Linked DNA regions of Callithrix jacchus. The protein of the gene in region 2 binds, or shares a complex with, the protein of the main gene of each other region. Links are inferred from orthologs where the notes say so. Each region holds a gene or a part of one and is shown on either strand. Other genes may lie near its edges.

What was found.
Region 1: YEATS2 (region 2) and MBIP share a complex: the UniProt entries of both Homo sapiens proteins name them as parts of the ADA2A-containing complex. The link is inferred for Callithrix jacchus from reciprocal best matches to the Homo sapiens genes YEATS2 and MBIP.

The regions. Positions count from the first base shown.
Region 1 is NC_133509.1:70,908,287-70,916,197, forward strand, and holds the start of MBIP (MAP3K12-binding inhibitory protein 1), read right to left. Parts: upstream 4,895-7,911; 5' UTR 4,876-4,894; coding exon 4,747-4,875; intron 1,072-4,746; coding exon 952-1,071; intron 1-951. UniProt on the Homo sapiens protein: Inhibits the MAP3K12 activity to induce the activation of the JNK/SAPK pathway. Component of the ATAC complex, a complex with histone acetyltransferase activity on histones H3 and H4.
Region 2 is NC_133516.1:12,787,687-12,794,923, reverse strand, and holds part of YEATS2 (YEATS domain-containing protein 2), read right to left. Parts: intron 5,469-7,237; coding exon 5,210-5,468; intron 4,241-5,209; coding exon 4,079-4,240; intron 2,275-4,078; coding exon 2,048-2,274; intron 637-2,047; coding exon 478-636; intron 1-477. UniProt on the Homo sapiens protein: Chromatin reader component of the ATAC complex, a complex with histone acetyltransferase activity on histones H3 and H4. YEATS2 specifically recognizes and binds histone H3 crotonylated at 'Lys-27' (H3K27cr).

The DNA.
Region 1 (7,911 bases), on a different chromosome or scaffold from region 2:
GGTTAACTATTACTTTTAACGTGAAACAGTTAAAATTTCCCACAAAGTCAATAAATGGAGAGCTGAAAATTAATGCCTATTCCATTAGTCAAAACACACTAACACTAATAACGTTCCAATTATTTTTTTCATATCCACAATTTTGCTTCCCTTGTTTGCTATACCAAATACTCTCCTGAAACCGTATAACATCTTAATCACAGTAAACTGACCAATCCAAACAGTTCTTCCACTTATCTTTTTGACACTTTACATTTTACACTTTAATTAGAGATAAACTGCAAACTTACATCAATTATAATTGGAAAGATGTTCAATTACAAACTAGCAAGGTCATAACATGAAATACTTAAAAATATAACAATGCTATTATAAATACCAGTTCAATATTAGCTTCTAATATAAAGAATAAATTATTTCAAACTGTTAAGAAAAAGAAAACAGTGACTGGCTACTTACTAAGATGAGACATTAATGTCACAGAAATTACTTTCTTTTTAAAAACTATGCTGAAACTGTTTAATTGCAATAGACACTCCAGGATGTGTCATGCTGGGATAATGCCCCTTCTTGAACCACTGAAAGCACTCCATGAGCCTCCAAACTCACCCAAGGCATGGAATCATTATCATAGCATGACACACACCTGCCGTGTCTTATTGCTTAATTATAACCCACCATAGATGGAACTGTATTGAATTTTCAGTGCAGGTCTAGAATTGAACAGAACTGCATTCATTCACTCTCATACCCACATTAGTCTTTTGGGCTATATTCCCTTAACTGTCCTGATCACTACTGAAATTAACAGATTTAGATCCAATCTGGATGTAAATAACCTTTTATTAGCAACACTATTAATAGAGTGTTTAGAACTGACAAATACTCTAATTTAACCACAATTAATTTCTGTTTTCAATATCGGGTTATCATTTCTAACAAGAAATTTACCTGTAAATCTAAAATGTGTTGTTCAAGTGCACTAAAGAGCAACGCAGGCTGGAATGCCGAAAAGCTTTGGAGCTTGTTCCAATCGATTGTAATTTTCACCACATCATCTCTGAGGTTAAGCTTCAAAAAGGCAAACCAGCAACATCACAAAAATTATAAGATTAAACTGTACATATGGAATTGTCACAAATAAAGGATTTCAAGAGTAACGTGTCTATTTTGCTCAAAGTTATCAAGTTTTACACTGAAATGCTCTACCTAGTTACCATTTTAAATGGCCACGAAAGCTACAGATTTTCATAAAAAACAAAAACAAAATGACATGTCATTCAAATTCTATTCTTGGGTCTGTGTAACGGGATCATTTTAGAGGTGAAACCATTCATGAAAGATGAAAAGATGAAGGCTCTTTTGATTCTTCAATATCTACAAACCTTTGGATGGAGTCCAAAATAGGCTTACCCTATTCAGAATCCTACTACTTCTAGCTCAGAGCCGTAAACAGAGGAAGCACAACTGTTTTGTGAAAGTTTTAACATGCATTTTTCTCTTTAAGTACGTACACAAATACATACCAGATATATATCACTATTCTGATGTTCTCCAAATCACATTGTTATTGTTTTCACCTTTAACCAAATTTTAAACTAATTTAAAAGTCAAGATTACTCATACATACTAAAAGCAGGGATAAATGGCAACATGTTTATTTCAAATAAAAAACTATTAGTTAGCTATGGAAGTCTGAAGCTGAAAAACAAAGACTTCTCCACAATAGTGAAATAAGTTGTCAGACTGGATGAAATGGCCAGATCTTTTGCTAAATGGTAAGATGTGAGGGCTCATTATATGGAAATTTGTATCAGTTGGTGATCTAACAGAATAAAATCATACCCAGAAAATTACAAAGAACCTGAATATAAGATTATTATCAAAATGAATGAAAATTTTACAGTGATAGCACCCATCTGCAGTCTTTTGAGTGAATAAAAGTGAACTATCATAAACTTTCCTAGGGACATATGTTTACAGGATAGCATAAGAATATATTCCATAAAAGAAACAAGTTACATAATTAATTCAAAATTCATCATCTTTTCTACAAAATAAAGTTGTTACGTTAGTTCAAATACAGATTTTAGGAGTTATAAAGATGAATCACTGTACAAAGATCAAAAAGATGTAAGGTTACCAATAAAAAGATAATATATTGAATAAACACTATGTGACAGAAATTTACTGCCCTTTTAAGATAAGAACAGAAGAATTTAAAAGTCCATATTAAACAAGTGTAAAGATATATGAAATTTCATGTAGGCTGCACTGGCAAAGATTAGAACATATTAAGACTTTAAAGTTAATGCATTAATTTATATTACTTTAATGCCTATAAAGATTTTGCTACACAACAACCCATATTATGTATGGAAGTAACCCATTAATATACTTTTGTAGTCTTCAAAGAGATCTATACTCGATTATAGAAAACTTATGAATACAGCTTGGGGATAAAGCAGGCAAATCCTCAACCAAAGCAAAGTATCACATTTTTCTAGAGAAAATAACGTATAGAAAAATAAGTCTTAATGTTTGGTTCATATTCTCATTTCAATTCAGCAGAATTATATAAACCTTCAAGTGCAATTAAGAATAATTGGTCTTTTAAGAAAACCACATAATGTCACAAATTAATTATAAAACTATCCTAATTCATCTAACTATTCATTCAAGACATTCATTATTAGTCACATGAATCCTATGCATTTTGCCCTACAGAACTTGGAAGAGTAAACCATTCACTTGAAAATCTCTATTAGTCTGCTATTAATATAGACTATTTAAATATGTAGTTTCATTAACTTTACTAAATTAATACAAAAATCCAAGCTAAAAATAAGTAATTGTTCAGCTTGGTAAGATGGGCCATCCAGAGGCAAGCAAAAAGGTTAAAATTAGTAAATTTTGTGATCTGAAGTAAAAAATTATTTTTAACATTCAGTTTTGTGTTTCCTACTGAGGAGATCTAATAATACAATGATACTTAGGGATGACACAGGATAAGTTAGGTATGTTACAACATACATTTTAAAAATCCTTTAAACTGGTCGCAAAAGAAAATACTGATTTCTCGGGGGGGCAATTTTATAAGTATTGAACTCTGGCTTTCACTCTTAAAAAACATTTCTCAAAATACAGAGTATTTTGAAAGTGGTTTACATTTAATTGATGAAACAATCATATTTTTGACACTTGTGTAGGAGGTCCCTTCACTGTGTCACAGTAAAGTCACCAAATATTTACTGTCAACATTTTTGACAAGTGACATAAGTAAACTGTAATCATTTCTTTAATTGTACTTTACCGTACTTGAATCATTAAAATTTTCTAATGAGTTTGAAAAATTCAGTATGCAAAATATTTCAAAAGAAAAGTTTAAATCATTGCTCAATATTTTTTTTAAATATTCCATCTTCTGTTAATAGGTGAGCATAAACTTTTTTTATCTTGACATTAGAAAATAAACAAGTTCCGACGTCGCCATAAAAAGTTCTCTAACTTTTAAACCATTTAGAGGTTTTGGTTCTTAAGACTACAATGTTAATAACAAAAGACCCCAAGTGTTTAAAAAAATGTTTTTGGTAAGTACTTGGCAAACAATTGAGTTTAAAAGTTGTATCTTTTAGCAGATTTCATTAACAACTGCGTCATTACATAAAACCGCTAAACTTACAGTAATGTTCTTTGTAAGACACAACATACTACGATTTTTAAAACTACTTTAGTAACTTTTTAAAAGACTGATTCTCCATCTACTCAAGGCTTTAAAAAAATAATTTTCACAAATCAGACAAATGTTCTATTTTTATAGGAATTTACCATTGTCTTTGACACAAATGCCTGCTGTGTCCACAGGCACTAGTACCAGCTCCAAAACAAACTTTTACGGCTAGAAAATGGTCTATGTAAGATAGAAAATATTTCCTTTTAATAAGCAGGTGAAGAAGCATAATTTTAAACTGTTTCACATTTAAAATCTGCTTTGAATTTTACACCATGAAACGAAACAGTGACTTGATCACAGAGAATAAGAAGTCCATTTAAATTTAAAACCAATTTTACCACATTTCTGCAAAAGCGATTTATCAGCCAGTTAAACTACGCCCGTTTAATAATAGTTAAATAACGCCCGTTCTATTGCAAACAACATCAAAGAGGGATAACTCATCCAACTTTACGCTAGAAGTATTTTAAATGAATTCCTTTTACTTTCCTCTCCATTTAAAAGGGTAATAGATGCACAAAACAGCCCGAAGGAAAGAAGAAATAAACAAAACCAAGTGACTCATAAGAACAAATTACTCCCTCTAGCCCCTGAAAAAAGCTAATAAGCGCGCTTTTCTATAAATCTCAGGCCTACTGACCAACCAATTCCCGTAATTGAGTAAGTTGGAAGAAAAAGGAGCCTGAGCGCGAGGCGCCTCATAAATCCGCAGTTAAGCTTTTCCACATTCATTCTCTCCAAGTCTGCTCCTCTCGGGGCCGGGTTTTCACTTAAACCATCCTCACCCACTGCTGGGGAGGACAGCTGCAAGGTAAACCACTTGGCAACCGGTACCGCCATCCTCCTCACTCCGACTGAGACGGCTCGGCCCGGGCTCCTCCCCGACCTCGGCTTCAGGGGCCGCACCTCAGACCTTGGCAGGCCTCGCTGCCTCTGGCCTCCGCTAGAGGAAAAGAATGAGGGGGAGAGGCCGGATGGTTTCCATACCCTCAATCCCTGAGGCCACTTCTCACCTGTCCAACCAGGGTGTGCAGGGAGCGAAAGATTTCGCAGAGCACCTCTCGGGAGAGGCTGGGGCTGCATCTTCGCTCCACATTCCTGTCACCGCTACTCGGGCGAGTAAGCTCCGTGGCAGCAGCCATGACACCTTCTCAGGCCGCCAAGGATTGCTCACAGCCCCGCCCCCTCCCTTTTCCGCTTTAGTCGCTCGGTGATGACGTACGACACGGCGTCTCGTTTATATCCGGGCTTTGAGGCTCCACCCTCTGTATGTGACTGACAAGCACGTACACCAATCAGTTGCAGCTGTGGCATTGCCCCGAAGCTCTGAAGTGAATTGCAGACCAAAGCTAGGCTAGAATGCTGTCTTTGGGGTGGTCATTAGAGTCGTGGTCTCTTAAGGGTTAGCATCATGAAGCTTACCTTGACTCCTGGATGTTCCTTGTGAATGTTGGTAGTAGGGGACTATGTGAAACACTGTCAGTATCATTCCAACAGGAATTTAACCTGGATAAATAATATGCAACCACAATCTTTGAAATTAGAAGGACATAAAACCGAATTGAAACTTTACAAAGTATTATATAACTTTATTATAAAGATACTTGTGGGGTTTTGCAATCTTTTCTTTTTTTTTTTTTTAATATTTTATTGCATTTTAGGTTTTGGGGTACATGTGCAGAACGTGAAAGACAGTTGCATAGGTACACACATGGCAGTGTGTGTTGCTTCCTTTCTCCCCTTCACCCACATTTGGCATTTCTCTCCAGGCTATCCCTCCCCAGCTTCCACCCCCACCCCCGTGCTGGGCCTACACTTTTCCCCCCAATAGACCCCAGTGTTTAGTACTCCCCTCCCTGTGTCCATGTGTTCTCATTTTTCATCACCCGTCTATGAGTGAGAATATGCGGTATTTCATTTTCTGTTCTTGTGTCAGTTTGCTGAGAATGATGTTCTCCAGATTCATCCATGTCCCTACAAACGACACAAACTCATCATTTCTGATTGCTGCATAATATTCCATAGTGTATATGTGCCACATTTTTCCAATCCAGTCTATTATCAATGGGCATTTGGGTTGATTCCAGGTCTTTGCTATTGTAAACAGTGCTGCAATGAACATTCGTGTGCATGTGTCCTTATAGTAGAACGATTTATAGTCCTTTGGATATATACCCAGTAATGGGATTGCTGGGTCAATTGGAATTTTTATTTCTAAAGCCTTGAGGAATCACCACACTGTCTTCCACAATGGTTGAACTAATTTACACTCCCACCAAAGGTGTAAAAGTGTTCCTGTTTCTCCACATCCTCTCCAGCATCTGTTGTCTCCAAATGTTTTAATGATCGCCATTCTAACTGGCGTGAGATGGTATCTCAATGTGGTTTTGATTTGCATCTCTCTGATGACCAGTGACCATGAGCATTTTTTCATATGATTGTTGGCTTCATATATGTCTTCTTTTGTAAAGTGTCTGTTCATATCCTTTGCCCATTTTTGAATGGGCTTGTTTGTTTTTTTCCCGTAAATCTGTTTGAGTTCTTTGTAAATTCTGGATATCAGCCCTTTGTCAGATGGGTAGACTGCAAAAATTTTTTCCCATTCTCTTGGTTGCCAATTCACTCTAGTGACTGTTTCTTTTGCTGTGGAGAAGCTGTGGAGTTTGATTAGGTCCCATTTGTCTATTTTGGCTTTTGTTGCCAATGCTTTTGGTGTTTTGTTCATGAAGTCCTTGCCTACTCCTATGTCCTGGATGGTTTTGCCTAGATTTCCTTCTAGGGTTTTTATGGTGCCAGGTCTTATGTTTAAGTCTTTAATCCATCTGGAGTTAATTTTGGTGTAAGGTGTCAGGAAGGGGTCCAGTTTCTGCTTTCTGCACATGGCTAGCCAGTTCTCCCAACACCACTTATTAAATAGGGAATCCTTTCCCCAATGCTTGTTTTTTGTCAGGTTTATCAAAGATTGTATGGTTGTAGATATGTTGTGTTGCCTCCGATACCTCTGTTTTGTTCCATTGCTCTATATCTCTGTTTTGGTACCAGTACCATGCTGTTTTGATTACTGTAGCCTTGTAGTATAGTTTGAAATCCGGTAGTGTGATGCCCCCCGCTGTGTTCTTTTTGCTTAGAATTGACTTGGCTATGCGGGCTCTCTTTTGGTTCCATATGAAGTTCATGGTGGTTTTTTCCAGTTCTGTGAAGAAAGTCAATGGTAGCTTGATGAGGATAGCGTTGATTCTGTAAATTACTTTGGGCAGTATAGCCATTTTCACGATATTAATTCTTCCTAACCATGAACATGAAATGTTTCTCCATTTGTTTGTGTCCTCTCTGATTTCGTTGAGCAGTGGTTTGTAGTTTTCCTTGAAGAGGTCCCTTACGTTCCTTGTGAGTTGTATTCCTAGGTATTTTATTCTTTTTGTAGCAATTGTGAATGGCAGTTCGTTCTTGATTTGGCTCTCTTTAAGTCTGTTATTGGTGTAGAGGAATGCTTGTGATTTTTGCACATTGATTTTATATCCTGAGACTTTGCTGAAGTTGCTTATTAGTTTCAGGAGTTTTTGGGCTGAGGCGATGGGGTCTTCTAGGCATACTATCATGTCGTCTGCGAAGAGTGACAATTTGGCTTCCACTTTTCCTATTTGAATACCCTTTATTTCTTTTTCTTGCCTGATTGCTCTGGCTAGAACTTCCAGTACTATATTGAGTAGGAGTGGTGAGAGAGGGCATCCTTGTCTAGTGCCGGATTTCAAAGGGAATGCTTCCAGTTTTTGCCCATTCAGTATGATATTGGCTGTTGGTTTGTCGTAAATAGCTTTTATTACTTTGAGATATGTTCCATCGATACCGAGTTTATTGAGGGTTTTTAGCATAAAAGGCTGTTGAATTTTGTCAAATGCCTTCTCTGCATCAATTGAGATAATCATGTGGTTTTTGTTTTTGGTTCTGTTTATGTGGTGAATTATGTTTATAGACTTGCGTATGTTGAACCAGCCTTGCATCCCCGGGATAAATCCTACTTGATCATGATGAATAAGTTTTTTGATTTGCTGTTGCTATCGGCTTGCCAATATTTTATTGAAGATTTTTGCATCTATGTTCATCATGGATATTGGCCTGAAGTTTCCCTTTCTTGTTGGGTCTCTGCCGGGTTTGGTAACAGGATGATATTCATCTCA
Region 2 (7,237 bases):
GGAATTTCTTCATGTTGGTCAGACTGGTCTTGAACTCCCAACCTCAGGTGATCCGCCCGCCTCAGCCTCCCAAAGTGCTGGGATTACAGGCCTCAATGAGCCACTGCTGTAGTGGCATGATCTTTGCTCACTGCAACCTCTATCTCCCGGGTTGAAGCAATTCTCCTGCCTTAGCATCCCAAGTAGCTGGGACTACAGGCATGCACCACCACACCCAGCTAATTTTTTTGTATTTTTAGTAGAGACAGGGTTTCACTGCATTAGCCAGGCTGGTCTCGAACTCCTGACCTCAGGCAATCCGCCCGCCTCAGCCTCCCAAAGTGCTGGGATTACAGGCATGAGCCACCATGCCCAGCCTTATTGTTCATTTCCTTATGCAACCTTAATTTCCTTGTGAAAAGAGAGAAACTACATGTAAATACATAAATAAATGTCACAATCACCAGGTATTTGGGGTGTGTGCATGGGTGTATTTACCTGTGTAAACAACGTGGTTTTCTGTCCAGAGATGACTTTCAGCGTCTGTTGTCCTTGTGCAGAAGATGTGCTAACTCCTAGTGTGCCTTGGACCACTGACCCAGTGGTGAGTTGTTTTCCAGAAGTCTGGGGTGATGGCTGGCCAACTAAAAATGTGCCCTAAGTTAGAAAGAAAATATAAAGAACTAAGCAGTAATTTCTTAAATTCAAATGCACTGTTCTGATCCCTTAAATCACACGTAACATTCCATGCTACAAGCTACAACGCTCTCCCCTTTAATTCTGCAATGTAGGCAAAATAATCCAAAAGAATAGTTGTGCTCTAAGTGTCTCTTCTAATAGTTCTCCCCACTTCTCAAACTCTGCACCACAGTTACAGAGCAGCCTGCTGGAAACTCTAGTTTTGCGATTTAGTCCTCAAAGCTGGATTTAATCATCCAGACTGATAACTATCTACCTTTCTCAATAAGAACATCCGGAACCAAAATTCTATTACTTTCCTTAGAAAAGAGCCAAGACTTCAGCGACAAGAGGAGAGAAGGAGGAAACTCGTTCCTCATCAAATCTAACCTAACTCTAAATATTACAACTTGATGCTGCCTCCTTATCACTCCCTTCTATGAGCAACTTTTCAACTGTAAATGAATACTGTTTATTACCTCATGGATATGGGAGGCAATTAGCATAGTAGAAATCTTTCTTTAAGGCAGAAAGATCAGGGTTTAAACCCAAATTCTTTCTTTTTTTTTGAGACAGTGTCTCACTCTGTTGCCCAGGCTAGAGTGCCATGGATTGATCTCAGCTCACTGCAACCTCCACCTCCCAGGTTCAAGTGATTGTTCTGCCTCAGCCTCCCGAGTAGCTCGGATTACAGGTGCACAGCACCATGCCCAGCTGATTTGTGTATTTTTAGTCGACAGGATTTCACCATGTTGGCCAGGCTGGTCTTGAACTCCTAACCTCAGGTGATCCGCCCACGTTGGCCTCCCAAAGTGCTGGGAATGCAGGAGTGAGCCACCACACCTGGCTTAAACCCAAATTCTACCATTAGCTTAGCAGGAAGATGCTGGATACGTTACTAAAATCTTTCTCAACCTCTATTTCCTCTTCTCTCAAAGCAAGCAAAAAAAGAAATAGATTTTTAATTTTTTTTTAGATTCTTATTCTGTCACCTAGGCTGAAGTGCAGTGGCGCAATCTCGGCTCACTGCAGCGTCCACTTCCTGGGTTCAAGCAATCCTCCCATGTCAGCCTTCTGAGTAGCTGAAACTACAGACCCACACCACTACACCCCAGCTAATTCTGGTATTTTTAGTAGAGATGGGGTTTCGCCATGTTGCCCAGGCTGGTCTCAAACTCCTGGGCTCAATCGATCCACCCACCTCAGCCTCTCAAAGTGCTAGGATTACAGGAACGAGCTACCGCACCTGGCCAAGACATAAATATAGATAACACGGCTAAATTGTTAGTATTGAACCCTGATCCCAGAGCTGTAAAGGTAAATCAATTATAATTAAGTGTCATTATCAAAGAGCTAAATGATTTAAAATATCAGTTACAGATAACCAGACCTGGGGAGTTTGCTTGAGGATGTAAGATGTGTAAGTCAGGTGCTGAGCTATTCCTCCAGGGCCGGTGGTGCTCTGAGTTCCTCCTCCTGCTGTTCCTCCTCCTGCTGCTCCTCCTCCTCCTCCTGCTCCTCCTCCTCCACTGCTGCCTCCACCACTGCCACCGCCTCCGCTTCCTCCTCCTCCTCCGGTACCACTCCCCCCACTGGCAGTTGAGCCAGACTGGAGATCTAAAAATACAATGAATGACGGCAACATCATAAAAAGTATCCAGTAAAGTTTTAACAGAAAAAACAAATGAGCCCAGACAGATGTTTCCCTTTTAGTGTCATTCCTTCTCCTTTCTCATTTTCCTCCTTCTTTTCTGTAATCTACCTATCCTGCGAAAAGAGTGAGGAGAACTTCTTAGATTTTAGATCAAAATCTGTTTCCTTTCAATGGAATGGCAGCTGACTGTATTTCGGCTCTGAGTACAATGAAGGTATTTTGACGTGGTCATGGGAGATCAAGAGAAGGCTTGCTACTGACATTTTCTAGCTACGTATTTTAATCAACTCTTAAATGTGTTCAGGTGGGTGCTTCCCAACTTTTGGGCACCTCATTCGATGTCAGTGACTGGCTGGAATTTAGCGTAACTTTACAGTGCTTGATGCAGTCTCCCATCCTGGGAAACATGAAGAGTTTCCTTCATTTACAATGACTCCAGGACCCCATTCTTCTTTGCCTTTCAAATTCCACCTCAAAGCCTTCAATTCTTTTTACTTCTCTTTTGGTGAGATAACGCATATAAACTACCTGGACTATGAATATTCACTCAACAAATACTAACAATTTCCTTCTCCACCTTCATTCCAGTGATTATTGGAAAAGCTTCCTTCCTGATGGTTTATTTTCATCCCAAGGATATCACAAGAATCTAAGTAGCTCACTGGATGACTTTTGAAATATTTACATTGTCCTTTTCTTATATGTTTAACTTTTGGACATATCACTGCGTAGGTATGAGGAAAAAATAATCAAAGTGAGCATGGAAACAACCCATCACAGTCAATGAACGCAAGGACGATTAGCTGACACACTGCATTTTGGCAAGAGTGGTTAACTTCTAATGACTCTGACTGCTGTACTCTTCTACTTCTAATTCAGAAGGAAATAATTTCCTTATATCTTATCCTTTTCAAGACTGCCCAAATTGTTTTTCTCTCTCTGTCAAAGCAAAATTTTCTGTAACGGTAGATGAACTGCCTCCTCATTTCCACGGGGCTTTAAGACAGACACACCTTGGTAGAATCTATGTTTCTCTTCCCGTCTCCAAACCTAGAAGTAAGGAATACATCCAAACCAGCTGTCCCCAAGCTTTGTGGCACCAGGGACCAGTTTCATGGAAGACAATTTTTCCATGAACTGGGGCAGGAGGTGGGGGGTGGTTTTAGGATGAAACGGTTCCACCTCAGATCGTCAGGCATTAGATTCTCATAAAGAGCAAGGAGCGTGCAGCTCACAACAGGGTTCACGCCTCTATGAGAATCTAATGCTGCCATGATCTGATGGGAGGCCGAGCTCAGGCAGTGATGCTCCCTTACCCACAGCTCACCTCCTGCTGTGCAGCCCTGGGGTTGGGGACCCCTGATCTAAGTGAAGCCAAATGGACACATGTGATTCCAATCCTCTGCCAACTTATCCCCCAAAATAGACTTCCAGCTTCTGTAAGTAGATGGATCTTTCCTCAGCTCTCACCAGATTGACTTTTCAGACACCATTTCATTCACAGTGCGCGTAGACAGCTTTCTCTCAACAGCCTCATGAGCCATCTCTCTCCAGTGTGATTCATCCCTAACCCCAAACTCCGAGAAGCAAACCCACTTCTGGTTAAATTATCACTTCTGTTAAATCCATATGGGCAAATGCTACCATTATACCATCCAAAAGAGTTACAGAAATGCTTCCTGAAAAAGAAAGAACTGCCCTCAGGTAGACAGGATGAACATACAGAGAACCAAGAGTCAAATGATTCAACCCAATGGTTTCACTAACTAGCATGGTTCGTAGCCCGCAGGATGGCTCCTTGAGGGATCAGCAGCAGCTTTCCTTTTCCTGAAGGGTTCTTGCTGTTTGTAGTTAGGTAGAGTTTAGTGCCAGGAGGTAAATTTGCCAAGTTGGCCAAATTAGTGGCTGGCAGCTGCAACGTTGCCATTACTAAAATGGTAAAGGAGAAAAAATGGTAAGATATATTGAAACTAAGGGCAACACTCTCTCTAAAATTAAAATATGAGGCAATAGAATCTTATTTTAGACCACTAACAAACAGTAAACTCGTTTGTTTTCCAGATGCACAATGCTTTAAAGGCTGATATTCTTAAATATCTTGCTAATTAGAAAATAATTTACAGCCGAAAGAGCCTGCTGGAGGCTCTTTATATCTGAATATAAATAGGGTGATCATATGTCCTGCTTCTGCCTAGGGCTGTTCTAGGTTACACCTGTCCCATTGTAATATATTAACAGTGACTCTTTTTACTCTCAAAAGTACTGTGGCTTGATTAATGAAATAATCACCCTACTTATGGGGGAATACATATTTTCCCCCATTTAAGTCAAAGTTAGGCAAAATTTGTGCTCCTAACTGGCAAGTACAGTTAGCCCTCTGTATTTGTGGATTTCACATCCATGGATGTAACCTACCTCAAATCAAAAATATTCATATATTTGGGAGACAAAAGGATGAGTACATCTGTACTGAACAGGTACAGATTTTTTTCCTTATCATTATTCCTTAAACAATACAATGTAATAACTATTTACATAGCATTTACATTGTTATTAGATATTAAAATAACCTAGAGATGATGAGAAGTACACTACAGCATTTTACAGAGGGAACTCAAGCATCTGTGGACTTTGCTATCAGCAGCAGGGGGTCCTGGAACCAGTCCCCCACAGTACTGAGAAATGGAGTGTGTGTGTGTGTATGTGTAGAAACTTAAAGCTAAATACAGACCTTCATGTAAAATGTCCCATGAAAAAGAACAAACATTTTAATACACATCTTATAGCATCGACCTAACTAGGCTTTCCTAGGGAACATCAAATAGCAAATAAAATCACTAGCAAAGGACATCGGACAGAGCTACTGCTGAAAGAGCTCCCAATGAGGAGCCATTTTACCTGAACCCTGGGATCCACTCTTCTGAGGACCAGCGGCAGTGACCTGAGCCTTGGTTAAGGTCTGCACGGGCTGAGCAACAATTGTTCCTCCACCTCCACTCACAATTGCTTTTGCGACTCCTTGGGTCACAACCTGCTTTGGACCAACTGCTTTGGAGACAGAGGAGCTGGCCTTGGCTACCAGGATCTGGCCACCGCTGATCGCCACAGCCTGCTTCACTGCTGAGGGTAAAGCAGACCCAACCGGTACTCCAACAACCTGTCCAAAACAAAGCACAGTCCAACGGAGCCTTGAGAGTTCTTAGAACAGCAGTCACTGTTTTGGCAAAGAGCAAAGCCAAGGCCTGCACATAATACATGCAGCCTAATCCGGTCATCTAGGAAAGCTAACTAGACGGGTGTGAACGGCAAATGTATTTCTTACACTCGGGTATTATAATAACAGAAGCTTAACAACTGTTGTCTTACCTCAGCTACTTTTTATGACTTACTTTAATAGAAAATTTGGGAAACTCAGAAGTATAAAGAAAAAAGTTCTACTCATTCAGAAATAATCTCCTAATATTTCCAATGTATCTACTTCCAATTCTTTCACACACACTTGAGACCGGGCACAGTGGCTCATGTCTGTAATCCCAGCACTTTGGGAGGCTGAGGCAGGCAGATCACTTGAGGTCAGCAGTTCGAGACCAGCCTGACCAACATAGTAAAATCCCGTCTCTACTAAAAATACAAAAATTAGCTGGGTGCGGTGGCACAGACCTATCGTCCCAGCTACTCTGGAGGCTGAGGTGGGAGAATCACTTGAATCTGGGAGGCGGAGGTTACAGTGAGCCAGGACCGTGCCACTGCACTCCAGCCTGGGAGACAGAACAAGACCCTGTCTCAAGGGAAAAAAAAAAAAAAAGGCAGGAATATTTAACTGATTTTTTTTATTTAAAAAAGACCTCAATATCCAAATAATGAAAATGAAAATTAGAAGTATCTAGTTCTGAAAGTAAACTCTTTAGAGAAAATACTCAGGAGTGTTTTTTGTTGTTGTTGTTTTTTAGACAGGGTCTCACCGTGTTGCCCAGGCTGAGGTGCAGTGGTGCAATCTCGGCTCACCACAACCTCTCTCTCGGGTTCAAGCAGTTCTCCTGCCTCAGCCTCCCAAGTAGCTAGGACTACAGACGCATGTCAGCATGCCCGGCTAATTTTTTGTATTTTTAGTAGAGATAAGGTTTCACTATATTGGCCAGGCTGGTCTCGAACTGCTGACCTCGTGATCCGCCTGCCTTGGCCTCCCAAAGTGCTGTCAACAGTAGGATGTTAAATAAAATGCTGAGCGAGGCCGGGCGCGGTGGCTCACGCCTGTAATCCCAGCACTTTGGGAGGTCGAGGCAGGTGGATCACGATGTCAAGAGATTGAGACCATCCTGGTCGACAAGGTGAAACCTCGTCTCTACTATAAATACAAATAATTAGCTGGGCATAATGACGCATGCCTGTAATCCCAGCTACTCAGGAGGCTGAGGCAGGAGAATTGCCTGAACCCAGGAGGCAAAGGTTGCGGTGAGCCAAGATCGCGCCATTGCACTCAAGCCTGGGTAAGAAGAGCAAAACACTGTCTCAAAAAGAAAAAACAAAAAAAATGCTGAGCGAATGGCAAATTGGGGCAGCGTTTTCCGCTCTGCAGCTCTTTATTTCATAAAAAGCACTTCTCACCAGAAACTCCATAAAACTTTCACAGGGTTAGAAGAAATGCAAATAATCTGCCTTCTTAAGGAGAAAAAGACAAAATAGGAACCCATCAGATTAGGGAGAAAAGAGTTTAAAGTCTGATAACATCAAGAAGTTACCTGAGGCTGTGGGGGAAATAGGTACTTTTGTTCACTGCTGGTAGGAAGATAAATTTGTACAGCCATTCCAGGGAGGCTCTGGCCTAGCTGCTAAAACTGAAAATTCACATACCCCCATATAGTAGGAATTCTATTTTTAGGAACATATCCTAGGGAAATAGGCATGCGTTCAAGAGAACATATACAA